4 linked regions of the Lepisosteus oculatus genome follow. The protein of the gene in region 4 purifies or fractionates together with the protein of the main gene of each other region. This does not show direct contact. Links are inferred from orthologs where the notes say so. Each region holds a gene or a part of one and is shown on either strand. Other genes may lie near its edges.

What was found.
Region 1: the proteins of slc30a1a (region 4) and mettl9 purify together in Homo sapiens (co-immunoprecipitation; 3 studies listed by BioGRID and IntAct, with this or other methods). This does not show direct contact. The link is inferred for Lepisosteus oculatus from reciprocal best matches to the Homo sapiens genes SLC30A1 and METTL9.
Region 2: the proteins of slc30a1a (region 4) and xxylt1 purify together in Homo sapiens (co-immunoprecipitation; 3 studies listed by BioGRID and IntAct, with this or other methods). This does not show direct contact. The link is inferred for Lepisosteus oculatus from reciprocal best matches to the Homo sapiens genes SLC30A1 and XXYLT1.
Region 3: the proteins of slc30a1a (region 4) and csgalnact2 purify together in Homo sapiens (co-immunoprecipitation; 3 studies listed by BioGRID and IntAct, counting the BioPlex papers as one, with this or other methods). This does not show direct contact. The link is inferred for Lepisosteus oculatus from reciprocal best matches to the Homo sapiens genes SLC30A1 and CSGALNACT2.

Annotation. Positions count from the first base shown.
Region 1 is NC_090714.1:16,657,329-16,665,007, reverse strand, and holds the start of mettl9 (protein-L-histidine N-pros-methyltransferase), read right to left. Parts: upstream 3,001-7,679; 5' UTR 2,910-3,000; intron 2,501-2,909; exon of another isoform or gene 2,352-2,500; intron 2,269-2,351; coding exon 2,113-2,268; intron 1,289-2,112; coding exon 1,098-1,288; intron 754-1,097; exon of another isoform or gene 488-753; coding exon 278-487; exon of another isoform or gene 1-277. Other genes in the region: mfsd13al (transmembrane protein 180-like), read right to left, coding at 4,966-5,107, 7,346-7,489. UniProt on the Homo sapiens protein: Protein-histidine N-methyltransferase that specifically catalyzes 1-methylhistidine (pros-methylhistidine) methylation of target proteins.
Region 2 is NC_090708.1:8,922,764-8,930,119, reverse strand, and holds the start of xxylt1 (xyloside xylosyltransferase 1), read right to left. Parts: upstream 3,005-7,356; 5' UTR 2,941-3,004; intron 2,507-2,940; exon of another isoform or gene 2,368-2,506; intron 2,233-2,367; 5' UTR 2,229-2,232; coding exon 1,782-2,228; intron 1-1,781. Other genes in the region: lisH domain-containing protein ARMC9, read left to right, coding at 4,265-4,315, 5,443-5,568, 5,893-6,063, 7,085-7,240. UniProt on the Homo sapiens protein: Alpha-1,3-xylosyltransferase, which elongates the O-linked xylose-glucose disaccharide attached to EGF-like repeats in the extracellular domain of target proteins by catalyzing the addition of the second xylose.
Region 3 is NC_090699.1:33,889,599-33,896,692, forward strand, and holds the start of csgalnact2 (chondroitin sulfate N-acetylgalactosaminyltransferase 2), read right to left. Parts: upstream 3,017-7,094; 5' UTR 2,863-3,016; intron 1,235-2,862; 5' UTR 1,106-1,234; intron 1-1,105. UniProt on the Homo sapiens protein: Transfers 1,4-N-acetylgalactosamine (GalNAc) from UDP-GalNAc to the non-reducing end of glucuronic acid (GlcUA). Required for addition of the first GalNAc to the core tetrasaccharide linker and for elongation of chondroitin chains.
Region 4 is NC_090697.1:46,251,683-46,259,426, forward strand, and holds the start of slc30a1a (zinc transporter 1a), read left to right. Parts: upstream 1-4,725; 5' UTR 4,726-5,342; coding exon 5,343-5,937; intron 5,938-7,744. UniProt on the Homo sapiens protein: Zinc ion:proton antiporter that could function at the plasma membrane mediating zinc efflux from cells against its electrochemical gradient protecting them from intracellular zinc accumulation and toxicity.

The sequences.
Region 1 (7,679 bases), on a different chromosome or scaffold from region 4:
TAGAGATGTTAGAGCGACATCCTGCCTCTACAGACTTGTCACCCAACAGTCCAGCTTGAAGTGTACACACGCCTCTTCCTTCCATCTCTTTCTGCATTATTCCTGAGCTGCCGTTTCAGTCACCGGACCTCTCCAGCTGGCTCTGTACAGCTCGGGTCGAGGCTCGGGGACCCGCCATGGTGACTGCACCGCTCTGTTCCTGAACCAGCTCCTCCCACTGCTCGCCTCACGGCCGACCACAGCCCGAGCTGCCGCGCGGACGGCCACCTGCTCTTACGTGTAGTTCCTCCGCTGCAGCTGCCAGGCCATGGGGGCCGACACCTCGGTGGCGTAGACCTCCTGGAAGTGGGGGCTCATGACCTCGGTGACCCCACCGTCCCCCGCCCCCAGGTCCAGCAGCCTGCGGGCCCTCCACTCCGGGGGGATCCGGAGGAGGCTGCGGAACTGCTCGGCGGAGAACACAAACATGGAGCCGCGGCCCAGGAACCTGGCCAGCGAGAGAGAGCGAGAGAGAGCGAGAGAGAGCGAGAGAGAGCGAGAGAGAGCGAGAGAGACGAGCTGAACCTCTGTCGTCTTGACCAGAGAAGACTGCAAGGGGACCTGATGCCTCAACAAAGCTGTGTGCTGATTGTGTTGTATGAAAATGCCCTGCGATGCGTTCGTGTCGTAAAAAGGTCTGTGCCGATCGTGTCCGGTCTGGCGACACTGTCATTCATCGGTCGTGCCAATAAAGCTGGTTGGATTGAACTGAAACGGAGCGGGAGGCACTTCTTCACCCCAGGGGAGGTGGAGGGGGGGGAGGGGTGGTGTAACGAGCCACACGGCTCAAGCTGGCGAGATCGTGGGTCCTCTGGGAGGGCTAGAGGGGCTCCTCTCGTCTAGAGGCCTTTCTCACGTCCTTAACGGCGAGGAGACAGCGAGCCGGGCAGGGTGGGCATGGCCGGGGTAGAGGGGGCGTGCAGACATGATCCTACACACGGCAGCTTCACAACACTGGAACCCTCAGCCCAGCACAGACACCGCGCCTGGCCAGGAGGGCGACAGGGAGATGGGGGGCGGGGGAGACAGAAGCCCGGCTGGCAGGAGGGCAGACGTACCCGTTGATGGAGGTGCGGGAGAGGAAGGGGCTGAAGAGGGTGGACATGAAGGAGTGGTAGAGCTGCATCAGGAGCCAGCTGGACTTCTCCTCGCTGCGGCTCAGGAAGGCGCGCGTGTCCTCATCCAGGCGGCTCTGAACGAAGGCGGGCCGGAGGGGCTCGCCCAGCAGCTCCGGGCAGCACCGGTACCACTGCGGAGACACCCGGGCCCAGACATCACCAACACGGCGCTGGCTCTCACAGGGCCCGCTCTCGTGCCGGGCACGACACCCCAGAACCCGGCCTGCGGGCCTCGGAGAGCAACAGCTCGGGTCACTGCGTCTGCCTCGCTTCCCAGCACCAGTGCAGCTGGCGCCGTGGAAACACGTCAAGCACGAAACCCTGCGAGTTTTAACACTTGCAAGATTCGAAATTACCGCCGGTGTGCCTTATTTGGCACCTGGCATGACCCTTGTGAACAGGTCCTGTGGCCTGATGAAGCCTCCTGCAGAGCCTGAAAAATCACAGCTTTTCAGAAGTCCCCAGGGGTGACACAGGCACAGGCCTCACAGCCAGGCTTCAGTCTCATTACTGCCCGTAACGCAAGGCTTGTCTTTTGCGTTTGGAGGAGAGGTGTAAACATTCAACCACACTTGGTGGTTGTGCCTCCCTCAGCCTGCTCATTCGAACACTTTCTTCCAATAAATGCATAATAATGAATATATAATGAATCACTGCAACTCCTACATTCCCAATCCCTCTCAAACCTGCTCAAGGGGGCGATTTAAAAATCTGCCAACAACACTGGTTGAAGCCCAACGCCGCCCTACTGGCATCTACTGTTAAAATAAAGCTAAAAAAAAAAATAGGAGTAAAATGAAACTTTACAAGGAAACGCCCAGGGTGTGGATAAACTAAGGAAAACAAAAGTACAACAACATGCACAACTTCACGCAAAGCTTAATTTGCTTAAATTAGCAAACAACTCTCTGCCCCCGTCCCCAGCCCCACATGTAGCCCACTGTCACCCCGGTACCTCCTGAGAGCCGTGCGGTCCCGTTTCGCTGGCCATGTTGACCAGCAGCGCCCTGGCCAGTGGACTCCTCAGGTATCTCCCGGTCCACATTTCCCGTATAACCAGCAGCGAGACGAAGTAAAAGAGCACCCAGACCGCAAACAGCAGCCGCCTCATCTGCAGACAGAAAGCAGACCGAGACTCAAAAACTAGAGTCCTCGACTCCTGCCAGACCTTCCGAGCAAGCAAAGCGTACCGACCTGTACATGCTGTTGGCTTTGAAAGGTGACATGTTGTTACTGGACCCTCCACTTCAACCGTAAACTAACTTGCTCGAATAAACCTTCTTTCAACAAGTAAGCCGGTGAATCTGTTCCACGTTTACTTCCTGTGTCACACTTAATTGCGTCCCCACCCTTTAAAGTTTCAAGTCTTATGCACTCACTGCATGAGCATTAAACGTTTTGCACGCATTTTCAGCGATTTTGTTTTTGCAGAACAGCATTTAAAGAATAAACAAGTTTAGTCTCAGCTGGCATTTTAATTACTACCACTTAGGTATGTTCATGTTATAACTGGAGATTTAATTTCACTTGACAAAAACTTCGACTTGAATAGATTGCGTTCCTACATCTTTACAATATTAATAAAGACCTAAATAATTCAGTTCCCATTAAATCACATGTAATTAAATCACGTTTCCACGAATCCTAGAACCGAAAGCGTCATTTCAGATCGAGTTTTTTTATAGAATTTTATTTTTAAATCTTTCAAACATTCATGAATACAATTAAAATACAAAACCATGAAACACTTACGGCTAAAAAACAGTAAATAAATGCTTTTTATTGTCCATTTCATGAGTTATACTTCTATCATTTCTGCAGGAGTATTGGTTTGATTGCAGAATGACCTTTGTACAGCAGCCCCAACAACAAACTGTATTTAACATAGACTTTCACCGACAGAGGTAGTAAGAGGAACATCCGGCTTCGGGTTAGTACAGGTATATACCGGTCACGTTTATCTTGTTTTATTTCAAGCCGTATTACACTGAAAATCTCAACCCCGAATTAAGATTACGGCTTTAAAAATATGAAGCACAGTGTGGGCAGGAGAATACAGTACAATGCAATGATCGCTCTGCAATGACTACAATGAGCCCCCCTGTGGTGTTGCAGAACACCTTGTTTTTCTCTGCGATAAACCTACACCTTGAAACTCCTCATTGCACACACTACACACGCAGAGCAGGCTGGGCCTCCAAAACTCCACCCGAGTTTGTCTCGTCAGGATCTTACATTTTGGTGGTCATCTTATGTCACCAACGTCTGTGTGTTTTTTTTTAATTAAATATTTTCTGCAGCACCCACTGCAGGTTAGCTCCCAAAATCCCAAGGCAATTATATAGCGAGCGACACAAAATTAAACATTTCCTGCAGAATTCATAATGAATATAGGTATATGTCTTCTGCATGTATTCACAGCTCACAGAATGAACACTAGAATTCATGTTATTGTCCTTACTTGGTACAAAGGAATGGAAGGTCATCATAAAATCTAATCAAATTCTTAAAAGTTTACCCCTATTTTCTGCAATTATACTGCAAATAAAATGAATATTTATCTATTATTTGTAATACAATAACCCTGTAATGATGCAGTGCTGTGTGAATTTGTCAGGCAATGCGATGTTCTGTATTCAAAGCAGCTCTTTTTCCCCTTTTTAAACAGGTTCTTCAATGGCATCTCTCACTGCTCCATTCTTGGTTTTGAGTCGTTTCCTTTCCCAGAGGTTGCTTTCACGGCACCGGACTGCTTGGCTGTTTCTCCTGGCTGGTGTTTTTCTCAGGGATCGCATGGCTCCCTGCTCTTCACACACTGCTGAGCGCTGATCCGCTGCCCCTGGCCTCGCTCGACACACTGGTCTCACTGTTCGTTCGCTCGAGACGACTCTGTAACCTGGGGCCCGGCCACGACTGCGCGGCCCCCCCCCCAGCAGGGACGGAAAAGGCACAGTGCAGGTGCAGCCACAGCCCTCAAAACTACTGGAGGACAGGCTGCTTGTGACCGCGCAGTCAAGAGCTGTGTGGAGAAGCACTTGACTCTTCCACGGGCTTCTTGTGCTTTAGTGCCACACAGCCCACAGAGTTCATGGGGACACGATGGGACCAGACACCAGCATTCAGAATCCTCAAGGGCATCGACAAAGCATTCCCCAGCAGTCACCAAGCAGAGCAGGCAAGTGGAAGCTGTGCAAACTAGTTTAAAACAGAGAACAGGAGCCACCTCTTTACCCAAAAGGTGGTGGGAGTCTGGAACAGGCCAGCCAGCTGTGCTGTTGAGGCCGGTACCCTGGCACCTCTCAAGAAGTGGGTAGACATGATCCTCCAATTAGAACAGGCATCACTTCTTTACTCAAAGGGTTGTAGGAGTGTGGTGCCAGCCACCCCAGCCATCTTGTTGAAGGCAGTACCCTGACTTCTTCCAAGAAACAGCTGGAAGAGATCTTCAGATCAGTTAGCTACTATCAAAAGGGCTAGATGGACCCAACAGCCTCTAGGCTTCTGTAACTTTTTGTACATTCTTATGGTATGCTACACACTGCATTACTTTCATTGGAGGAGCCCAATCCATCAACGTCGAGCTTCTGCTGATCAGAAATCCCAGATATGCCACCTTAGCAAAACCATTTTCACCAGTTTTTTTTAATATGGCAGTCCAGGGGGAGACGGCTCCCGCCTGTCCTATTACACACCCGTGAGAAAAGAGGAAACGGCGTGTACAGGGACACCAGTTCGAAGCTGGATGTCGTCCATTGACCTCATGTGATTGCACACGCCTCCTCCTTCCTTCGTCAAAGGCTGTGGCTCCCTAAGTCTCAAGGTATTTAGCGTCCAGCGTGTGGCTCTCTCTGATGGAGAATGGAGTCCAGGCTGCGATCTGCAAGGCGGCAACGAACATCGGCACCAGGCAGACCAGGTAGAACATGGCGCCGTGGAGAGCCTGCAGAGAACTGGGATGAGACAGAACAGAGGGGTGTGAAACAGCACGCCAACGATCCAGGGTTTTCAAGTGAGGCGGCCTGTTCACTCCCAACAACTGGAGCTGAACACGTACTGCTCACTGGGCCTTATTGGTCATTCCAGCGGGGTCAGGTTTTTCGCAGCATGAAAAGTACCACGCGGGACACATGAGACATGTCCGTCGGCACACTTTCTAATGAAACAATCAGCACTTCAAACATTCCAGATATCTACAGAAACAAAAGTGACACAGGAAAGAAGATCCAAATCTAGAACGGTTGTGCACGGGGATCAAGGAGTTTCCCCGCCCACAGGGCTGCAGTAATCTACTTCAGAATCGTCGACACGCGTAACAACTCTTTACGGTTCTACAAAAGTTTCAGAAATAAAAGCACAGGGCAAGCACCTCAAGGGGACTTAAGCACAGCCGCAGAGGGGTCCACTGCTAATGTCTGTTTGTAGCAGGAGGGATTTCTAATCTATTCCAACGGGGCTGCCCGCATAATATCCTGTCTGGCAGTCTGTAACTTACTGGGATTCTCAAAAACAATATCTCTATCTTCTAAACTGTCTGTTTGTATAAATATAATTGAGGGTGACATAGAATACACCAATGAACATGTAAATTACTTTGCTTTACAAACTTCACTAAATGGGACAGGTGGGTCTTACACCTCACATTCTTATGTTCAAAAACCTTTATAGAACAGTGAAGTAAGCAGTCCTGGTCTTTGTGCATTGCTTCTGACTGGATTTAGAAGAATGATTTAGTCCGTGGGGAACAGAATAGACATTTGACATTATTATTTGCCATTAACTGGCTCAGTTAAGTAATTAAGTTGGGAAAGAAATAAAAACCCGAAATGAACCCCAAAGATTTCCCTAGTGCGGAACCACTGTGAGAAATATAGCAGTACACATTTCTGGCCACGAGAGGGAGCACGTAAGCAATTCCGAACGCGGGACGCTCTCCAGACTGCATTGTGTTCTTAAATGTCTCGGGCAGCACGCCATCATGTCTTAAGAGTCGTGAGCTGGCAAGGAATTATTCCCTTATAAAGTGCTGCGGTGCAATAATTAACAGGCAAGACAGATTGTCACTTTCACCTTTGCTGAACGCGTCATGCCGGCAATTCTACTGCTGTGTTTCGAGCCTGCTCAGCTCTCTCAGCGCAGTGGCGTGGATCTTATTTTAAATGAACACGCAGTCTTCTATAAATCTGCCTGCCAGTTTCTTGTTCATGTGCACTTGGGAAAAGAATAATTCCCTTTCGACTTGCCATGAAAAAAGCAATGCATTGGAAAAGAGGCATTAAGATTCGGGAAGGACTGGGGCATGTGTGGATTCAGACAGTGCCTGGCTGAGAGAGAGCAGGCAGAATCCTGTTTTGGTGGGAGCTGTCACACTGCCACACATCTCAGAGCTCCCTGCTGCCGAGACAGATGGGGGGCGGCTGTCCTGGCTCCCTCCGACAGAAAATGTCTTCTGCAACATCCTCTCGTGGAGCTTTCAAATTCTGTGCGCATCTGCGGGCTTTATTTTGAATTCGGTATAACCCTGACTCCGTCAAATTAAGCTCAGATGGCGTCTTAAGGAGAGGCACTGCACAATCCCACTGCCTGTCTGCCTCTGGAAAAAAAAGGCCACTCGCATGGCGTAAGATTTCATATCCGCAGTGAAAATGCACCAGTCACACGCTGCCCAGACAAAGCCCCAGCACGCCAAGCTCCAGAGACCCGCCATTCCCCCAGCGCTGCTTAGAACACTGAAGGAAAATGAAGATATACAAAAGAGACGAGAGGCTGCGTTTACTGAAAGAAGAATCAAGACACTGGATTCTTACTTTCGAATATAACCTCCCTGCTGCAGACCGCCACCAACTTCTATATTTTTTCAGTTCTGCTTCTTTATTTAAGGGGAGCAGGAGGTGAGGACGTGTCCTTGAGTGGCCTGCAGGAAAGGCAGCGTCACGTGTGCACCATCAACGGAAGGATTGCGCAAAGTCACCGAGCCCGAGCTCTGGCTGGCACTCCACACAGGACACTGGCTTCTCTTCAGGACAATCGCTCCCCCAGTTACATAACAACTACAGCCTTTATAAAACAGCTGATTAACGCGCTGTCCAAAGGCTGCTGGCCATAAAAAGATAGGGACTGCTCGTTGCTCCAGAAGGTCCAAATCACACGGGCTCAAAGGTCTCTGGGAGGCTGCAGCTGTTGTACAGTACCTGGGGTCCACAGCCGCGCCCGCCTCCTTCAGCTCCTTGTAGCCAAACTGGTTGAGAATGGTGACCACCACCATGGGCGCCAGGGACTGGGCAGGCTTGGTGAAGAAAGCGTTGGTACCAAACACCATGGAGGACAGCGGAGAGCTGGGCCCGGCAGAGACAGAACCAACACGTGTCACACACGGAGAGATCCAGCTCCTACTGGCCCCGGCAGTAGTGAGGAATTAGTGAGACAATGTGCAACACTATCAAGCATCCCAATAATGTAAAACTGTACATCCTGTTATTTCCTATATCTGTTATAAATCTACAACCTATATTGTGAATATATACC
Region 2 (7,356 bases), on a different chromosome or scaffold from region 4:
TTAAATGTTAATGTTACACCTAGCAAAAGCTGGTCTGCAAAACAACTTGCCTCATCCCTTTACCTCACTGGTGATGTACAGTGTCAGTGTGATTTCACCTCAGGAGTCACACTGATTTTCATAAAACCTCTTCCTTGACTCCTTTTGACTTTTGACCAGCACTGGCTTCTTCGACCCTTAGAGAAATCTTTTTTTTTGCATAATGCTATCTGGCCTTCATTCTTTCATATGCAGCACATATGCAGCACAAAGCTATCACTTTGCGTTTTCTTTTTTTTCCCCCATAGCTTTTTATTCCCACCCCACCCCCCATCTTTCCAGGCACAAGCCCACCCACAAAAATGAAAAGTTACAAAGGTTTCTCAAACATTCTCATGTATATATACCTGTAAATACCTCACATCAAATGATCTTTCCAAATTGCTGCCAATTTTCTTCCAGTTGCAAGAAAGCAAATTGTGAGCACAAATTACCAGCCATCTCAGAGGCTGGATTAAGCCATGAAAATACTACTGATGTTTAAAAACACTAAGAAGAAAATGAATAAAGCACCAACTCTTTACCCCGATATTAAAGAGTGTAGGGCTACATCAGTGTTTGGCATACAGTATGTATGTTGTGTCAATTTTGCACTTTACAAATCCATTCAAACCCAATATCATTTGACACCAAAGGGAAATACATTAATCCACCTATAGAAATTCATAAAATATTTCTGATATTTTAGGTTCTGTTATCCAATACTGATCAACTGGAACATAAAAATGAAATTTCCATTTTCTTACGATTCTGAAATAAAACATCATCAAAGAACAAATACAAATTACAGCATTTGACAAACTTTCCAATCAGTCATGCTTGAGTTCTCCCACACCGCACCATAAAGCCATTTCTGCGATTGCTTTATATTATGTCAAATTACATTTTATTGAGTCTGTGCTGCCACCTGGTGAATAACCAACACTAAACAAACACCAGTATTTGTGGGAAATAACACTAACTTTGAAAGATAAGATTTCTCCAAGACCTCTTTGGCTCCGTGCTGTAGACACAGGCATCTACAGAGGGACAAGTTGCATTTTAAAGCATGTTTTGAGAAACAAATGTTAACATTACATTATGTATACGGCACTCACCAGGAAATATAAGAAACATATCTCATCAAATTGAATTTGACAAAAACTAATCCACTTCACTCGACCAATCTCACCATTCACCTAAGCTGTTGGGAATCTTAATACTGATTTAATATTTTAAGCAATCTTAATATTAATATCGACACAAACTATGCCATGATCTCCATGTTTCAGCTAGTACACAGTACGTAGGTGTACAGATGCAGGCGGCATGCTGGTGCAGTGGCTTGCACTGCTGTCTCACAGCACCAGGGGCCTGGGTTAATTCCTGGGGTGCTGTCTGCATTGAGGTTGTATCTTCTCCCTGCGTTTGCATGGGGTTCCCTCCCACAAGCCAAGGATATCCCAGTAGCTTAACTGGCTTTGGGGAAATTGGGCTCTGATGTGTGTGTGTGTCCCTGTGACAGACCTGCATCCTCATCCAGGGTGTATCCTGCCTTGCGCCCGCTGACTCCCGGGACAGTCTTGGGGTTAGAAAATGCATGGTCGTCAAGTGAAACCCTTCGCCTGCACTGGCAGACCAGAGAGCAACAGATGCAAGATACAAACCCTACTTCTCAGCTGAGGTGTTCCCAGCAGACATGACACTTACCCGCACGAAACTGTGAAACCAAGCCAACAGACAAACAGCCTCTCCCGACCTACCTCATACCGGAAGGTGGCATCCCGAAGCAGCTCTGGAAGCATCCTCTCACCCAGCTCTCTGCTCGGCGCGTCGCTCACAAAGTGGAGGACCAACACCTCCCCGTCCGCGAAGCCGCCGTGCGCGGCCATGGACCTCAGGGCGACCCGGAACTTCTCCTGCAGCCCCCGGTTTCGGTCCACTTTAGTGAACATCATCAGCGCGTGGTAGTACAGGTCGGGGTGCCCGGCCCCGGTGTCCGAGGACAAGTCCGCATCGTTCCTGTTGGCGTTGAGGCTCGCCTGGGTCTCCTTGAGGCGCCTGGTCGTGCTGGAGAAGCTCTGACGCTCCGCTCCGAAGTAGTAAAAAGCCACGACGGCGAGCGCCGCTGCTAGCAGCAGCAGCAGCTGGTAGGATCGGAAGGCGCTGGCCCTAGCCATGGTGTTTGGGCTGGACCTCAGGATGCCCATGGCCCTGCCAGAGAAGACCAAACATCCTGTTTAAGCCCCGCACTGCCACAGCTGGGGGGAGTGTGGTTTCCTCTGCACTCGTGTGTGGCTTTTCTTAGCTCAAGGGAAGAGCCGTGCTCATCTCAGTTTTAAAGCTTACCCTCGACGATGACTCAAGACGGACAGGGCTCCGATCAGACACTCAGTATTTTAATTCTCTGCAAGGCTGAACTGCTAAGGGACTGACTCCTTCTTTTGGCATCGTCACGCGTTTTCTCCAAACCACTGCGAATATTAAAGTATTTCCCCTCTTAAACTAGGCTTTAAGAAACAGACCTTAAAATCCCCCTAGAAAGCCAGGCAGGGAGTAAATAGCTCACAGTGGTGATTCGCCTCCATCACATTCATCGTGGGGGAAAATGAAACCTGCGAAAATAACTCGAGTAACTGTTTTTAGAGGTTCCGGACTGTACGGATGACACAACAGATAAATAAACCGGAGGGCTGACATAAAATCAGAGCGACCACGAGCGAATACCGAGACCGATAGGCAATTCAGCATCACAGTTATCAATCACAGACATAAAAACGCACCGCAAATAACTTACATTCATTTGAAGTATTAACTCGTAATACACCTCTATGCGCAACATGCGAGTTTATATTCTGTACTTTCGACAGCGCTTATCAATAACCTACAGTTTTTGGGAGGGAAAAAAGCCCACTACATTACCTTCATGCTTTCAGCCATGTTGAAAATGCATGAAAACTACCTTTCCCTAAGAAATCACTTCCTACACCTCCCAGAATTCGCCTGGCCGCGTCCAGGATTAACCCTTTTATTGCGGCATCCCGTGGACGCAAGTTTTAAAACTTTTTTTATGGATAAGAATGCATTTAACTCTTTTGCTAATGACTTACAACGCACTAGAAGGTTTTTTAGACTGTGTAAAAGTGTACAAATATTTGCAGTATGTTTCCCGTTATGACGGTTGTTGAGTGCTCTGCCTTCCACAATAAACGCATAAAGAATTTTTATGTAAATCTTTCATCTACACCCACGATTAAATCATAGTCAAATTAACAGCTTTACTAAACTTTAGTGGGGGGTTTTTCCTAACCCGTGTTTTCACGTATTATTCCGAATACTCTCTGTGTGATTGCCTTACGGGATCTGGATTGTAAACCCTACCAATATGGCCGCCATTTCACACTCAACCCAGAGTCGTTTACACAGGATGGACCCCTCTATATCGCTTTTATATCTATGGCTCTTACGCTCGTGCGTGCCGTGGCTGCTGTTGGTTGCCAGGTGTTCTCTGGAAGCGTCTCGTGCATCGATTGTTGCTATCCTTTATAAGCAAGATATGTATCCGTTTGCGTCAAGCCTGAAATGAATGTTAACGCGTTGAATTCACTGACTGAATTGTCCTTTCATTGATATCGGGAGACTATAAGAAGCGAAAACGGTTACAATGTAAAAAAAGCAAGGTAAGATCGTGTGAACAACAATGTTGTTAAGTATTGTTTCCAAAGAGGCCTCCTCTGAACATTTCGTGCAAAGAAAATGTCATCTTTAGATTTCCTCTCTTTCAACATAACTGATTCCTTTTTGGATAAGAAATAATGTGGAATGCGATTTGCTTGCTGAGCAGGCTCGTGTGAAGAGTATTACGTTGTTAATTAAACGTAATAAGCGGCTACAGTCTGCTGATCCCCAGATTGAATTATTGCAATGTATAGACTTTGCAGGGGTTTGCCAGTGTACAAAGCTGCCGTATTCTTTAATGGAAAAGGAACATCTAGATTTTATATAACATTTTCATCAAATTAAATTCCACTCTCCTGCTGAAACATGCATCCTAACGTTTTTACCTTTTTGAAGTACTCACGTTTGGGATTTGGTGTCGGTAGGCTTAATGATGTGTTACAAATGCTGAGTTATTACAACACAGTAATGATCTGAATACTGTCATTCCTCCTGCTGTTGTTTAGAGAGAAGTGTGCAGCAGATTTGTCGGATTCAGTTTGCAAATGAACACAGATTATATTGGAAAATGGGAGATATTTTGGTTTACGAAGGCGAGCTTCTTGGAATGGTGAAGGAGGTATGTCGTTTTCAAAGTGTGCTTAAGTGCTGTTTTTTTCTCAGAAGTGTTTTATGGAATGACATTTTATGCTGCTTTTTTACCGTTTGGCTCATATGGCACTAACCCATTGAATACTAAAGGAGATGTCATGGGAAACTGATAGTGTCAGACCCCAAAGTCAGAATGAGAATGGGCAGCACTGCTGTCCATTCCCCTTGAATGTGCTTGAATGTGCTTTCTGGCAGTATGTTTTGGGAGTCTGCCTAAGAATTGGCTTTGGTGGAAGGTTTTGCTGAATATGGAAAATATTTCTCTGAGCAGGAAGAACAACAGTAATGGTAAAATAGATAATAAAATCATCTGTCAAGATATAATCCAATTGTTTTTTCATAAATGACTGATTATCAAAAGCATTTTGAAGTGCTAGGCAACGCTTATATTCTTGTAATAGTAATAATAATAATATACACTTATATAGCGCTTTTCTGGACACTCCACTCAAAGCGCTTTACAGGTAATGGTGACTACCCTCCACCACCACCAGTGTGCAGCCCCACCTGGATGATGTGACGGCAGCCATAGTGCGGCAGAACGCTCACCACACACCAGCTATCAGTGGGGAGGAGAGCAGAGTAATGAAGCCAATTCATAGAGGGGGATTGTTAGGAGGCCATGATTGGTAAGGGCCAATGGAAAATTTGGCCAGGATGCCAGGGTTACACCCCTACTCTTTTTGAGAAACGCCCTGGGATTTTTAATGACCACAGAGAGTCAGGACCTCGGTTTTACGTCTCATCCGAAGGACGGCGCCTTTTTACAGTATAGTGTCTCTGTCATTAGGACCCACATGGACTGCAGGGTGAGCGCCCCCTGCTGGCCACACTAATACCTCTTCCAGCAGCAACCTTAGTTTTCCCAGAAGGTCTCCCATCCAGGTACTGACCAGGCTCACACCTGCTGAGCTTCAGTGGGTTGCCAGTTGTGAGTTGCAGGGTGATATAGCTGCTGGAACTTGGCTTTGTAGGACACAGGTGTTTCATAGCTTAGATGTAAGAAAGATTTGGTTATATTTATTCATTTTGAAATGTGCTGTCCAAAGGCCATATCTTCATTATTAGCAAGTACGTTTTATTGTCTTTGCCTAGTATTTAAGGTTTGCCGAATTTGATGAAACTGTGAAACTTTTTGAGAAAGAATGCAAGACGAAAGGAAAGCCTCTTCCAAAAACCACGGGGAATGTCTTGAGAGACTCCAAAACATTAATTATTCAGGTATGTGTCTGGAGTTGTATTTATTTTGTTAGTAGCATTTTGTACAGAATTGGAACAGTGACACCAGATGACAAATTGAAGCGTAAAACCTCAAATTAGTTTAAATACTGTAAAGTCCACATTCACATTTTCACATAGAGAAGGAGAATTGCAGATCTGGACTCTCCTTGACCAATACTCTTAAAAAGAGTGTCAGGTAAATCTATCATTCCATCAGATAAATATAATATTTTACCAGTGCAGTCTATGGCTCCAAAAGGAAAAGATGTTTTTTTACATATGGGACTGCGTTTTAAATATAGGTACTTTTGCCCTGTTCTGCAGAAGGAGATGATCAGCTCGTTTGAGGATGGAGATCTGAAAGTGTTCTTTGAGCTGTGGAATGAACACATCCCTGCGCAGATTCGAGACGTTGACCTTCTCGCCCAGAAACTTGAGTTTTATCTGCACATCCACTTCGCGATCTTCCCACTGAAACACGTCCTAGGAACACCTGTAAGCAACATTGAAATACATCACAAGTCTCCCTTTCAAACAATCGAGGTCTTACACCAGTGCAAATGATGGGATCAGAATTTTTCTATGCTGTTGTTCTGTTTGAGTGGGATAGGTAGGTTTTCCTTAATTTAGCACATCATAGTTGTAATAGGACGACTTGGTCCAATTTGTTAACGAAAATTTAACAAAAATCTGGCTATTATTTCATTGTAGAGTTTTATAAGGAGTGATTCCAGCACCCAACAGTATTTGTGCTGTCCAGATTTGGATCTTCCGAGACATGCAGATTAGAATTTGTAATTGTTAGGGGACTAAGTTCTTACTTTATCCACCAGATGTCTCTATTGCCTGGTTCAAATATTAGTAAAAAAATACATTTTTAATTGTTCTACATTGTTAGTACTTGTAATGTGTCCAGGTACCACCACACTACTTTATACATAAAGAATTAAAAAATATATATTATCTTATTTGCTATTTCATCGCATTGTTGTTTTAATATAGCCAGGAGGGTGATTTACATTCTTTCATTTTGATGTCATTGTCTAGAATACTCCTAATCCTTAAGGTGTAAGTAGAGGTTAATTGCACACCGAAAAGCCGAAAGAAAGAAGAACAGGCACAGTGTTGTGTCTGTCGAGCTCAGGTGTGTGGGAGAACGAGGAAGAGAAAAGCAATATGAGTGAGTAAGGAGGACAAAAGAGAAAGTGAGAATGATAGTGGAAGGTGATAAAAAGGGTCTGAATGGAGAGGTTAAGAAAGGAATGAGACAGTCATTGAGAGATGAGGGAAGCTGATAACCTAGTTTAAGAGTAAGTTTGGGATCTGCTTTGTTTTTTTGTGTAATAGTCCTTGAATTCCTGTAAAAGGATGGGGTATCGTTGATAAGGCTTTATCAGTGCAGTCGCATGCACAGAAATCCGTGTTGTGTCACCGAGGTCTACTTTCAAGCTTTGGCAGCAGTCTGCTAGCTTTCAGCGGTGTAATAAACTGGAAGAACGTATTGTTCCATGAGCAGGACAGAACGGATTTTGAGGAGAGGATAACACACTTCAGGCATTACCTGGAGACAAGAGGAGCAGCGCTGAGCCAGACCACCGAGTTCCTGCCCTTCTACGCCTTGCCCTTTGTGCCTAATCCCAAAGTGCATCCGTCTTTCAAAACTCTCTTCCAGGTCTGCCTTTCCACTTGTTACGAAGTCCCAGCACAGAGCACAGGCTTTGCTAGACCATTGCCAGTACATTATATCACAAAGGTGCCAGTATGAAATGCACCTTGGCTGAAGTTCAG
Region 3 (7,094 bases), on a different chromosome or scaffold from region 4:
TTTTCACTGCTGTCCAGGTGTTAACAAGGGCAGATAATTCATTGTGTAGTAGTACATCTATGTTGTATGACTTGTTTCTTCATGCCAGTAACAATTAACTAGAAAAGGCCAGGTTTAGGTCCAATTATTTCTCTTTTGTAAATTGTTTAATGATCTTGAAACATATTCATTTCACCCACAGACCTCTAGGCATTTAAATATACTATATAAACATGCATACTTGAAAAGAATGTCACCATTGTTATTATACCTCGTTACTGTGAAAACCCACAGCCCCACTCAACAACTCTTCCAGCTGTGACAGTATAGAAAACAAATTGAAGACATTCTTACAACAAAAATCAGATGTGTACCTTACAGAAAAAAAAAGTGGCAGAATGGGGGTGGCTATGCCACAAACAGACACACCCGAGATTGAGGAAGATATTTCTTGTAATAGAGATTCACAGACATGAGAACTTAGACATGCAAACTCTCTGTACATGGTCAATCAGCCAGTTCATCCCAGGATGTTGTTGTTGGGACTGAGTGGGCAGCACTGAGGAGTAGTAGTCAGGGCTCCAGATTGGAGGATCTCTGGTGGATTGCTGCTGAGGAAGATTCCTCATTCACTAATTGCTCCAACAAATACACTGATATGTTTCAGGTTGACATTGTAAATTAATATTTATTCTTAATGGACATACCTTGGTAAAACGATTTGTAAAAAAAAAGGCTTGCAGACTCATTAAGACTTCATGGTGGAGAATCCTTCTTCTATTATAAACCAGATACGTTTGCTACCTTGATAAAAATCTAATTTCATCCCTGTAATGGACCCCACCTTCACTTGACTGATACCACTATGGTCTGAGCCTGTTATATTTAAATGCAATTTTCTACATGTGAGTGTATATCCTGTGCTGTGTCTGAAGAATGGTGTTAAGTAGTTCTTTGGAAGGACTTCTCAATATGCAGATACGTCAAGTTCAATGAAGGGCATTGTTATTCTGAGACATCCTTTGGTAACTGAGGGAATTCTCTGCCATGCATATTGTACTACTGAGACAATGGGAGCCAAGAGAAAAGAGTACTTAAAGTTTTTTAACAGAGCTTTTTTTCTTACCCGATACATAATTTACAAAATGTATCTCTGGAAACTAATCCTTGGAGTACAATATTGACATGTTTTGGAATTTCCAGTCTTTGTTAAATCCAAGATGGAGTGCACATTTGCTGGAAACATCACTGGAAACTGAAATACACATTGCAAATGTTCAGATTACAGTGTTGGAACCTGCATATATCAGCAAGATGCTTTTTTGTTTAGTTGAACAGCAAATTAGTAATGCATCTATCATGTTCCTAGAGCTTAGATCAGGATCTCCCCCCCCCAAAAAAAAAAAAATCTACAAATAAATGCAATGAGCAGTTGTATAGTCTACCTTCAGAACTCTGGAAAGAACACCAATCTGAGTTTAGCAGATTCATGCCCATTAACTTTGACAACTGGGACAAACTGCAACAGCCTCAAGTCTCTTTGGTGAATAAGAGCCTGTTAGTATATTATAAGAGTATAGCACTGCTACAGTATACTCCAAAGTTCATAAAATGGTTCTTTCAATTTTCTTCATCTACTAGAAACCCAGTTTTTGATATATGTTTTGGTGTTATTTAGACAGTGTCATCATAGCAATGCAGACAAAACATTTTTTTTAATTCTTACTAAATAGCATTCGTATAAATGAATCAACTGTATGTTTAAAAACCATCATTAATAATATACTGTATGTGACTTTCTTTTTAGACTAAGTCACTATAAATACAGCATAAAAAAACATTACTTTATTCCCTAACTAGTTGGTTCTTCTACCCACAGGTATCTTGCTGGTGGTTTCAGCAATTTTCAATCGCCACCTCCAGATTTAACACTTTCATTTTAAAGTAAAAGGACAGGGTGGGAGGATGCGGGCTCTGCTCTCGGGATAAAAGAATTTATCGAACAAGAAGAGAAAAACAAAAGTAAAACATGTATTTTGATTTAACAGGGCTGATCATTAAAATTAAATTAAAATGTCCACTCTACCCTTTCTCCGGAGAACCATAGAATTCAACTGTTAGTTCCTCTACTGGTTTCTCTTATTATTTCAATTCTATGCACTACATAATTGTACATTACAAATAGCAAGTTAAAATCGTAACAATCACTAGACACTCTACAAGAGATCCAAGCTATCGGTGCTTGAAACTTAGATAAACAATTTCGTGGTGTGCATTATTAGAGTTGATCCTACTTGCTTTCCAGAGATTCACTTTAACTTATTCAAAAACTGTTTAGTTTGTGTGGTCAGAGGATGCGGTACCAGTGGCTAACTAATCCCTTTCCTGAACCACGCACCTTGACACTATTCTGACGTGGTCAACAATACCATTCCAAAGTTTGCAATGGTGTTTGTTTTTTACTTCCACTTAATGTTTTAAAAAACAAGTTTTCTACAAGAAAGTCAGATAGCTATTTATTTATATACGTAGTCATTTAATTAACTGCTGTAATAAAGTATCTATTTCACTAAATAGGACCATAGGAATATTAGTGTCGTTTCGGACATGAAATATTTCAGCGGAATTAAAAGTAAAAAACAACGAAACATTACTTCCCCTTATGCCCGTACTAACATATTAAGTACAGGCATCTGCCGTTACTCTATAACGTACAACCTTTTATCGTGACTCAAGACTTTATAGAAGTGAATGTGAACTAATCCTCCCAAGCACCGCTGACTGCTGATCCTCCCAGTAAAAACGTTTTTCTGTCTTTAATCTCGACAGAGGCATTAGCTAAAAAACGCATCAGAAAATGGCGATACACCACTCACTACTTACCCAAAATCAAGAACTGGTCGCTAAGCAGAAATATTTTGCAGCCAGTGCTGATGACAGTAAAATTAAAGTCTTCATAAAATCTGATACTGAAGCCGAATACTGTGAAAATAGCGTCTCTGCAAACAGCATACACTAGAAATACAGGCTAAGTACTTCCTGTCTGTATCTGGAAATGAGTCAGAGAAGCTCTTAAAGGAACAACGTATTCGATACAACGTCGCTTAGTTTCTTTTCTGGCTGACTGTTACACAAATATAGCAATACATATATAACTGTTTACCTGAAAATTTCCGCAGCATGGAAATCACATATTGGTTTATTTTTATTTTAGCAAACGAGGAAAAGCAATATAACGCTTCAATTGAGAACGACCCATCTTTCATTTAAGACAAAAAATAAGCTAGGACACACAGATGAATACTAACACAAGAACGAATTGGTTATTGTGTCACAAATTTCACGTTTTTGTTATATAAACCATGAATGAAACCTCGTCATAATATATACAATGCCATTATGTCCATTTATTTCATGAACTGTAAATGAAATGCACAATATTGAAATATAATTACTTGTAGTACAATTGTATTAGTTCGTGTCTACTGGTAGTGTTCTTATTCATGCAGTGCAGTAAAACTGTGAAAAATAAAAAACGGTATTATTACACAAAATTAAATGTCTTAATCATCATTTTGTGGTTCCCAGACAGTACAGAAAAAAAAAACTGCAGGTTTGTTTTAATCAGATTCCATGTCAGGATTGTGTGACATCCTAGTAGGATGAGGCCTGCCAGGTCCATCTAGTGTATGTTCAGAGGGCTACTTATTCCTGGCAAGGGTTGAGGTACACAGAGGCCTGATACTGTAGCACAGAGTGCAAAGCAGGCCTGCATCCTGGAAGGGACACCAGTCCATCACAGGGCACACAAAGGAAAAAGCACAGGGACAGTTTAGAGACAACTGCTCTTATTGGCACTACTTTGGCGAATGGTGAGTGATGCCACTTTGTATACCACCTACGTATACGTAATGTGTATATCTGGGATTTTCTTTATGTTATTCTTTTTATTTAAACATTTAATCATATCTAAACTATATGTTCTGTCATTGTGGGAACATACTGAAACTGTTTTCAGCCACATGTCTTATAGAAAAGGAATGACATACTTGGAAAGAGGAAAATGAATGATAATCTATGTTGGAATAATGGGTTGTGGGAGTATGGAACAAGCCTCGTTGTTGAAGCTGATACCGTGGTTTCTTACAAGAAACTACAGAATGAGATCCTTGGATTATTTTACTCAGTAACTACCACGTAGGGTAAATGCATTGGATAGCCTCCCAGTAACCTTTCATACAGTGCCTTGCGAAAGTATTCGGCCCCCTTGAACTTTTCAATCTTTTGCCACATTTCAGGCTTCAAACATAAAGATATAAATTTTTTATTTTATGTGAAGAATCACCAACAAGTGGGACACAATTGTGAAGTGGAACGAAATCTATTGGATTTTTGAAACTTTTTTAACTAATAAAAAAATGAAAAGAGGGGCGTGCAAAATTATTCGGCCCCTTTACTTTCAGTGCAGCAAACTCACTCCAGAAGTTCAGCGAGGATCTCTGAATGATCCAATGTTGTCCTAAATGACTGATGGTGATAAATAGAATCCACCTGTGTGTAATCAAGTCTCTGTATAAATGCACCTGCTCTGTGATAGTCTCAAGGTTCTGTTGAAAGCGTAGAGAGCATCATGAAGACCAAGGAACACACCAGGCAGGTCCGTAATACTGTTGTGGAGAAGTTTAAAGCCGGATTTGGATACAAAAAGATTTCCCAAGCTTCAAACATCCCAAGGAGCACTGTGCAAGCGATCATCTTGAAATGGAAGGAGTATCAGACCACTGCAAATCTACCAAGACCTGGCCGTCCCTCTAAACTTTCAGCTCAGACAAGGAGAAGACTGATCAGAGATGCAGCCAAGAGGCCCATGATCACTCTGGATGAACTGCAGAGAACTACAGCTGAGGTGGGAGAGTCTGTCCATAGGACAACAATCAGTCTTACACTGCACAAATCTGGCCTTTATGGAAGAGTGGCAAGAAGAAAGCCATTTCTCAAAGATATCCATAAAAAGTCTCGTCTAAAGTTTGCCACAAGCCACCTGGGAGACACCCCAAACATGTGGAAGAAGGTGCTCTGGTCAGATGAAACCAAAATCGAACTTTTTGGCCACAATGCAAAACGATATGTTTGGCGTAAAAGCAACACAGCTCATCACCCTCAACACACCATCCCCACTATCAAACATGGTGGTGGCAGCATCATGGTTTGGGCCTGCTTTTCTTCAGCAGGGACAGGGAAGATGGTTAAAATTGAGGGGAAGATGGATGCAGCCAAATACAGGACCATTCTGGATGAAAACCTGTTGGAGTCTGCAAAAGACCTGAAACTGGGACGGAGATTTATCTTCCAACAAGACAATGATCCCAAACATACAGCAAAATCTACAAAGGAATGGTTCACAAATAAACGTATCCAGGTGTTTGAATGGCCAAGTCAAAGTCCAGACCTGAATCCAATCGAGAATCTGTGGAAAGAGCTGAAAACTGCTGTTCACAAACGCTCTCCATCCAACCTCACTGAGCTCGAGCTGTTTTGCAATGAAGAATGGGCAAGAATTTCAGTCTCTCGATGTGCAAAACTGATAGAGACATACCCCAAGCGACTTGCAGCTGTAATCGCAGCAAAAGGTGGCTCTACAAAGTATTAACGCAAGGGGGCCGAATAATTTTGCACGCCCCACTTTTCATTTTTTTATTAGTTAAAAAAGTTTCAAAAATCCAATAGATTTCGTTCCACTTCACAATTGTGTCCCACTTGTTGGTGATTCTTCACATAAAATAAAAAATTTATATCTTTATGTTTGAAGCCTGAAATGTGGCAAAAGGTTGAAAAGTTCAAGGGGGCCGAATACTTTCGCAAGGCACTGTATGTCCTTATGTCTATTCAAGGTATTCGAAGAGAAGAAGGACAGGAATAGTCTGTATTGGTGACTGTCAGTTGGTAACTCTTTAAGTAATCATGTGCAGGCAGTGTAAACATCTTTAAACCTTGTGTGTGAATGGTTTGTATCCAGTATCCATATATCCCTTTCTTGTTCCACTGGTGTCAGGTCTGGCATTCTTTAACCATCCTGCAAATTCATTGTTGAGCCCGTTAATGCGATTGCCTGAAATGTAATCACATGCATATACTGTACAGTACATACTGTAATCAGGCAATACCATAATCATGAAACCTACTGTAGGTTAAGGTGAAACAGAACTATGATTTGAATACATAATAGTATTGCAACAAATTAAATATTTTTAGATTTTCAGATATACCAGATCAAGATATACTTGATCAGTGCATTGAAAATGTATGATGCTACCCTAGAAAGCATGGATTGATAAAATACCCTGTATTATTGCATAGAATGGCTTTTTTTCCTTTCACACTATATTTCCTTATACACTGTATGTTCTTTCTGCTTTGAACTTTGTAAAATATTTTATCAGTGTTATATCTACAGTATACAGTATATTTAAGCGTTGCTGTATTTGAATGAAAAACATACACTCTGTGTATTGTTTTCTTTTTTTCTTCTTGTATTTTATGCAGTATTGCACTGGTATTTTCAGACACCCTCAGAAACATTTAAAAATAATTATGATTTCAGGTTCATAAACTTTGTATTTTTAGAACTTCCCTCTTTGGAAGAAATTTCTATCATACTTGGAGTTTCTTTAAAGCTTTAAAGCTAAAATAATACTTTGCTAAATATAAAAACTCCACCCTGTCTTCAAGTCATCCAAATCCTCCAATCTTCACCAAGGTGCCCTTTGTTTCATATAATGTAATTCTTACTTACAAGTGAGTGTTAATCAAGTCTTGATCTTGTCTGAGATCTGTCTTATCAGTCAGGGTTGTAGTTTAGTTCTGTTTTGCTGTTTTTCCTACTTTTGTGGTATACAGAGACAAGATGTAGATACATTTATAGAGAACACTTCACCCCTTGATAGATAAAACAAATTATGAATTAAAGCTGTAAAAAACATTTTGTGTGATTCATATAATTTTTTAAAATTTAATTACAAATTCAGGTCAAAATATACAGCCAGGACATTTCATTTTTTCAAACTATAAATTCCTGTTCCCCACAGAAAGAACAATTACTGATAAAATACATCACT
Region 4 (7,744 bases):
AGACTCAGTGAAAGGCAAAGGTAAAGCATTTCTGCACCCCTTGTCTGGAGGGATTGTTGTAAAACAGGTCTTCTTTTCCATAACATACTTTCCAAAAATGATGTCTTAGTTTTTAAATCTACACCTAATTTAATTTTTTTGACATTGGGGTGCATTAAACAAAATAGTATGACAGAGTAGTTATTTGAAATGTCTGTAATTGTTCTCTCCTTTCATACATGTTGGTAGACTTTTGTTACTCTTATTTTACCACATATCCATGTCTGGCAGCTGCATTCTCAGGGGGGAATCAATGGATTTTTCACTGTAGTTTCTTGCTTTTGTACGTGAGTGACTGTATATTACTAAGATGTGGATGAAGTCAATTCTCAGGTTATCTGGAACTGTGAAAATGTTGGATGGAGCCTAGTCTGTACTGAAGTATTTCAAAGTAATACATTAGTTTTAATTTTGCACAAAGGAGGGTATATGTATACATTTTGCCGTCATTTTTAAAAAACACTTGAGTTTTAAATAAATGTTTCTAAAATGTTGTGTTATGCCACTTGACTTAACAGCTGGGTCCCACAAGGGGTCTCCAAATACCCATGCAATATCTGGAGGAATTATCTGTCTGAAATTCTTTCTTATGGTTTGAACTGTAGAGTCAGAGTTAAAGATACTCTGACAATAAAAATGAAGTGCAGCTTCATTTGTTTCCCTGGATATTTAGGAAAGAAATGTGTCGGAGAGATTATAGGAAGTAGGTACAGGCCACTGGGTAGAGGCTGTTCAGGTGCTCTGAAAGTAGAAAATGCTATATTCTTGTTTAAGAATGTGTGGCACTTGTAAGGCTTCAGATACATCTAGGGGAGGTGGATTTTAAAAGAAATGTGCATTTATCTGCGGTTAAATTGCTAAGGGCAATCAAACTTCCTTCGTTTTGAAGACTGAAGATCAGATGGTGCTGTGAATGCAGCTCATGAAACAGGCTGTTTCACTCTCGAGGAGAATTAAAGATATGTATGAACTTTTAATATTTTACACAAGTTACTTACCCTCTTCATATTCTAGAGAAATAAGGTGTTTCCCTATGTTTGTAATAAAGATATTGTAAATACAAGTACTGCTATAGTGATGAATGGCCTATTTCTTCAAGATGACTGCATTCACTAGTGTGGGGTATTTTCTGTGCATTTAAAATGCTCTAGAAGAGAGAAATGTGGAGAAAAAAAATTCACTGCTTTGCTGATGGGAATGAAAGAAAATGTATTCAGTCAGGTTTAAGGTCTTTTTACTTGTGACTTGCCCATAAGTGTTCTACATAGTGGAGAGGCTTGCAGCAATAATTTTGTCATAAGTGCTTGTTTCTTGAAATGGGACAGAGCTAAAGCACGATGCACGGTAATGTACCTAAGTGGTAGAAAAACAGAATTTTAGTCACAAGAGTGGAGGCTAATGTGCTCTGCTCGTCCGTATTAGCTGTACATCTTCACATGTAACTTTGGAACAAAGTATTACACTTAACACAAAGTACTGTATTTATCAAAGCCTAACAGCTGTTTGTGTCTGAACACAACTAACAAAATCTGATAAATCTATCCTACAAGATGCATAAATAACAGCAAGTTACATGTGTACAGAAAACAATTGCAACATACGACAATGTGAGACTTATGAGGTATAGAATACTGAAAAGGAAAGAAGCGAAGAGGTTTGTCAAAGCATTTGATACAGTTCTTGGTCTGTAAATAGCAGTTTAATTACTAAGTATTTGAATGCCTATGATTCATTCTCGCAGCTGGTATATAGTCAGTGTGTCTCACCAGTGTTGAATGCTAGGCTGTCTGTTTGTGAATGGCATGTTACTGGCTGTCTATCACACTAGGCTGGATTTCCAGTCCTTAAGGAGCACACAAAATGCCCTACTTTGTGCCTCCTAAGTTATGTACTTAGGAACTTATGTTTCTATTGTTTTTCATGTTGATCAACAAGGTTTTTTAATAGGAATTAAGTAGGCTAGTGCAACTTTGCATCTTGAAACACATCTTTTATTTTAAAAGTACATTTTAAATTGGATTTATTTATAGGTTTATATATACTGTACTGAAACATTATAGTCTTTTTTTATTTTTAGCAGAAAATACTGTGTGTATCTACATTTTCATGATAAAGTAGCAGTTCAGTAAAGGTATTAAGAAATGTAGATTGTTTTGTATTCCTGTGTGTTTCTGGACATGAAAGCTTTTCGAGCACCCATTAATGAAAATTATGATGGCAAAATTTCAGTCCCCCTTTATTTATCCCAGTTGTGCCCACCAAAGGAAAAAAAAAAGACGGATTTAAAGAAATGTTGAAGTACACCTGGCCAGTACACAAAGGCTTGAAAATACATCCTCTGATGTACCTGGACACCCCATCAGAGGAGTGTGATCTGGGGTCACTGGGTGTTTTAGGTCTTTCAACATCAGACACCCTCACCCAGCCTCTGTGGTGGTTTTGATAACCTTCCTCTTGCTCACCCCTGTTATGACCAAAAGACTTTAGGCTCTACAAAGGGATTAGCTTGCAAATCCTCTGTACCCCATCTCAACAGACTCAAACTGCTCTTCCAAAGGAAGCTTGGTACTAAACTTTTTCTACTTTCATGAGGTGCATTAGGTTGAACAAGATGGGTTTTTTTCTGATATCTGATTTGGGGTAGCAGTGTATTTGGCATTAGGAAGCAATTTATATTTAAGATTTTTAGCAGCCTATTATACAGTCAAGCAAGACTCAAAGTAAGGATTTCATTTTTTAATTCTATCAGGACATGTTTTTTGTGTGCAACAGCACATAATTTCATTTGCTCTCCCTTGACTGATAAAAGCAGAACTGTAGTGATCCACTCAAGCTGTTGTGAAACATACCTGCTGTTGCATTCACTTTTCCTTTGAAAATAGTTTGTAGCAAATAATGTTGTAGGACTTATTTATATTCAACTATGTAACAACCTTCAGACTTCAACAGTGCAATTGATTTTTATTTTGTACTAAGCTTACTTTCTGGGCCTGACAGAAGACAAATAGTACTCAGACTCTGAATGTCTAAATGTTAGAGCATTATATAATATATGAATATATATTTTAAAAACAGCTTTTGAAGCTTTCAAAGGGTAGTTTTACAAAAAGCTACTACTTATTTTGCTTCATAAGCAGTGCAATGAAGAAGCAGTAATCACAATGTTACCATTTCTAAGCTGTGGTTATTCTGAAGCTTTGTAAAATTTTTAGAACAAATGATGAATCTATCATCCTTTCACAAATTTTAAGGCCTGCTAATTACCAGAACCCCATACTATCTACATGATATGGATCAGTTTACCTGCTCTTCAGAAGTGGGCAGACAAACAACAGATCATTTCTGTTTGTGAGACAAGAACTACTTTCATGGACACTGTGATTATGAAAATTGAAGGGATCGTTGTGGATTTCCTAGGGGAATATACGCTTGAAAGTTAAACAGATCCAGTTAAATTATAGTTTTTGCGTATGACAAATGACAAGCATACAGGAGGGCTTTAACAGCTAAGCCGTTTAGGCTAAGTGAGGGCAATTCATAACCTGCATATAATCTTATTGGTTATTACACATGATTTTGTGGTTTATTCTACACACCTGCTCCATTCCCAATAGCTGTTTCTTTAGAAGTAAAGAATACCTTATTTTTCATAGGCTGTGCTTAAATGTAATGTTATCTTAGTTGCTTAGATGTTCCAAAAATGCCTTGTATGAAATAGCATAATAATCCACACGTCCACATGATTACAAATGATAATTAATATCTCTCCCCAAATTCCTTACCATCTGTTCACACTTGTCAGAACGTTTAAATCGTTGCAGTTGGGACAACATTATGTACTGGTTAAGTGTAATATTAACGTGATGTTCTAGTGTTTTATGTAGTTTTCATACTGCGTCGAGAAAGCGGACCGGTCTGTTAGGAAAAAGAAACTCCTTGTCCACGTTCATTTCCACAAGCACGGGGAGATCAAATATTAAGCATCAGATTTTGTTGGAAACGTCAATCTTCATGTCTTTTTAATAGTTAAGGCTTAGATTATTTCATATTCATCTACCTAAACTGACCCTACTAGATATGATCTTAACGTGCACACTTAATTGGATTGACTGCAGCTGAAACTTTATAATTCAAAAGTGAAAAGGTCGTCGGGTTTTATGCAAGTGTTTTGCACACGAAAATATTTCTCCGTTTTCTTCTATTAAAAGGGACTATCCAAGGTGCAGGACTCCTTAACTAAGCTTTTGTTGTATGCAATTTCAACAATGAAAGGAGGCATCTTCTACACCCCTTTGGGTATTATTATGGTTATTTTCTGATTTTTTATTTTTCTGCAATATCAGCATGACTTGTCTTGAATCAGTACTTATAGTGTCGTGCGGTTACAAACCAGGTGCGGTGTGAAGAAAGCGTCACGATTTGACTCAGAGGCGGATCTCCAGTGCAGTCCGCTCGGGTTACAACACGACTGAAGGCCGAGGTCTCCAATCCCCCGCCGCAGTGCAGGGAGAGCGGAGCCGGCCTAGTTGCTATAGGCCTGGCGTCGGTCAACTGCCCCCCGCCGGCGACTATACAAGGCCCGGCGGGGCACATGATCTCCAAACTGACAGCCCCTGTGCCCAAGCGGAGAGCCTCCGCCGCCACACTGCGCTTCCTCCGCCAATGGCGGAGAGGCGGGGCGTGGCCGCCTGGCTCCCCTTGTTCCGTGTGAAAACTTTGCCGGTTTCGGGTGCAAAGTTTCAAACCGTCTGCAAACCACCAGAGAGCTATCGTCGTGCCGAGCTGTGTTTTGTACTCACCGGGTAATTCTTTTCGCTTTTGTTTGGTTCTTTGTTTGAGCACCAGATCTTTTTAAAGAAGTACTCCGTTAACAACCCTTAAACATAGCTTTCCATTATATATGTTTTTAAAAGGAGGATTTACAAGACGTCTTTGAATGACAAGCCTGTGCTTTTTTCTCTCCTTTGGAGCTTCATTTGCCATCCCTGAATATGTTGAATGCCTTCTGATGTACAGATCTCCAGGAACACGGTAATAACGATATAGACCTGATTTCTGACGGGAGAAATATTTTCTCCTCTTTATAGTCATACTGCCACTCTCCGTGTGTTACCGGTGGCATTTGCGCGAATCCCGTGATTTCAAAATACCAGCCCCTTTTTTCCAGTGATTCGTACAAGTAGCTTTCCGTGAAGATGTTAGCGTGATTTCGGTTTTTGTGAAACAACGAAATAGTATTTTTATAACCACATAGTAATTCATCACTGAAACATTTAGCTGGAGGAGACTTCTCAGAAGGGAAAATGGCTTGTGAACCCAACCGGGCACGGCTGCTCTGCATGCTGTCCCTGACTTTCGGCTTCTTCATCGTGGAGGTGGTGGTCAGCCGGATAACCTCGTCCCTGGCGATGCTCTCGGACTCCTTCCACATGCTGTCGGATGTCATCGCCCTGGTCGTGGCTTTGGTGGCCGTTCGCTTTGCGGAAAAAACGCAGGCGACCAGCAAGAACACCTTCGGGTGGATCCGGGCGGAGGTGATGGGCGCCCTGGTGAACGCCGTGTTTCTGACCGCGCTGTGCTTCACCATCATACTGGAAGCCATCGAGCGGTTCACCGAGCCGCGTGAGATCGAGAGCCCGCTGGTGGTGATCGGGGTCGGGGCAGCGGGGCTCCTGGTGAACCTGCTGGGGCTCTGCATGTTCCACGGACACGCAGGGGGCGGCGGGCACGGCCACTCCCACGGAGGACACTCGCACGGGAGTAAGAAAAACAAAAGGAACAAAATGTGCAAATCCGACAGACCATCCGGGAGCGGATCGTCTGGGGAAGAGACTAATAATCTGGTAGGAAACTGCGGCAGCCCTAACGGAGTCAACACAGACAGGCCAGACAAGCACGGTATGTTTTTAATTTCTTCCAAGCTGTTACGATTTATTCTCCTCTTTCGATTCGCTTCTGCCTTTGTGTTGTCATTGCTCGTAAACTTGGTTGCTGACTTGGTCTACTTTTAATTGAAAGTAAGATTTTTAAAACAATATCTGACAAATTGAAGACAACTGTCAGACTTTGGCATCGAAGCTGCATACAGTAAGGAAACAAATGTTTAAAATCCCGCTTTCGTCAGGGCTGTTGGTTTAATACACAATGAGTTTGGGCAACGCTTCACCTTCTACCGTAACCGCAATGTGAACCACAAAATTACCATTGGTATGGGCCTGCAATTAAAATGTATAGTGTCTCAGCACTGGCAGATGTATAGGAGCCATTCTTTTACGAGTTGGTAAATCAGTTTAATACAATACGTTCTGCTGCTGTCTTTTCTCATGTGGAACAGCAAAAAGGGAACACAATGCTATATATGGGCCAGTGCTTGTCCCCAGGTAGCAGGGTGGGTATCTCGTGATTTGTCAACCAGTACGTCCTTAGTGGACTTAGTCAGGTCCTCCTTTGAGTCTCACACATGTGCAGATTCTTCATAAGCTGCCAGCACTCCAATTCACAGCTCACATCAAGACAGGCAGGTCCTGTATTCTTTTTTCTGCCTTTCCCATTAAATGAAAAGTCATGAGCTGGACAGCATCTCATGTTTAAACAGTTTATTTTCAGAGAACGGTGAAAAAACTGGACCCTTCGCCTCTAACTGTGCAGTGTCTGAGAAATATGAAAATGTGGACTATTGAACCTCTGATTGTGTTCCCCAACATGGAATGATGTGGTCACAGCCTTATTGCACAGTGGTAGTGGTGACTGACTGTCACATGGTGTGAGAAGTACATCTGTTACTCCACATCTTATTCTGTAAAAGTGAAACTTTCTTCTTGAGGACAGGATGTTGGCATTTGTGCCTGATTCTCAGGGTTGGTTCCACTGTTCCTTTCAAGCGTATTAGGTGTTCATCAGGTTGTTTTATGGTGTCCTGGACCCCTGTGAATGAGTGTGAGTTGCCTTTTTAGCCTGCTGACTGAAGCTTTTTTTTTTCTGACCTGCATCTTTGCCTTATAGCTGGCAATCATGTGCTTATCATGTGACAGGTCAGTTATAGCATGGCTACTGCTTCTATACTTGAAAACCTACCATACAAACATGAGCTTACAAACGGGGATCAGCATAAAGCGAATAAATACAGTTTTAAATAATAATAAAACCATAAACAGTGCAACAACAGGATTAAGTCTACAAAAATGGTTTATTTCCTTTTTAAGGAATACAATGGGTCCTAAAAACAATTATTTTTTTTTAGTTATTGTTTACCCACCCCAGGCCTGAAAGGCAGAGTTGCTAAAGTGACCTTTACCATTACATTTAAACAGGAAATGAGATTTAGCTTCGGAAATAGGCATCATAACTTTTATCCCAAACTTTGAGATTCCCCATTTTTAATTGCTTCAGGGTTGTACATGACAAAGAAACTGTTTACTCCTTTAGAATGGAAAATTCTTAGTTTAGAAATCACTAGCATAAATAAGAAAATATGCCAATACATGAACAAGTACAACAGCTTCCTATGTCAAATATGAAGAACAAATAGAAAAAAAATGAACACGTCTACTTGGTTAAAGACACAAGCAAAAGTTAATTCCTCATTGCGAAGTAGAACCAAGAAACGCAATGTTTCTGCTCTTGAGCCTGCTATAGCTATGTTAAGAAAATAAGAGTTGGCTTTTTGAATTAGCCTTATTACCTTTAAATTGCTTTTTATCTTTAT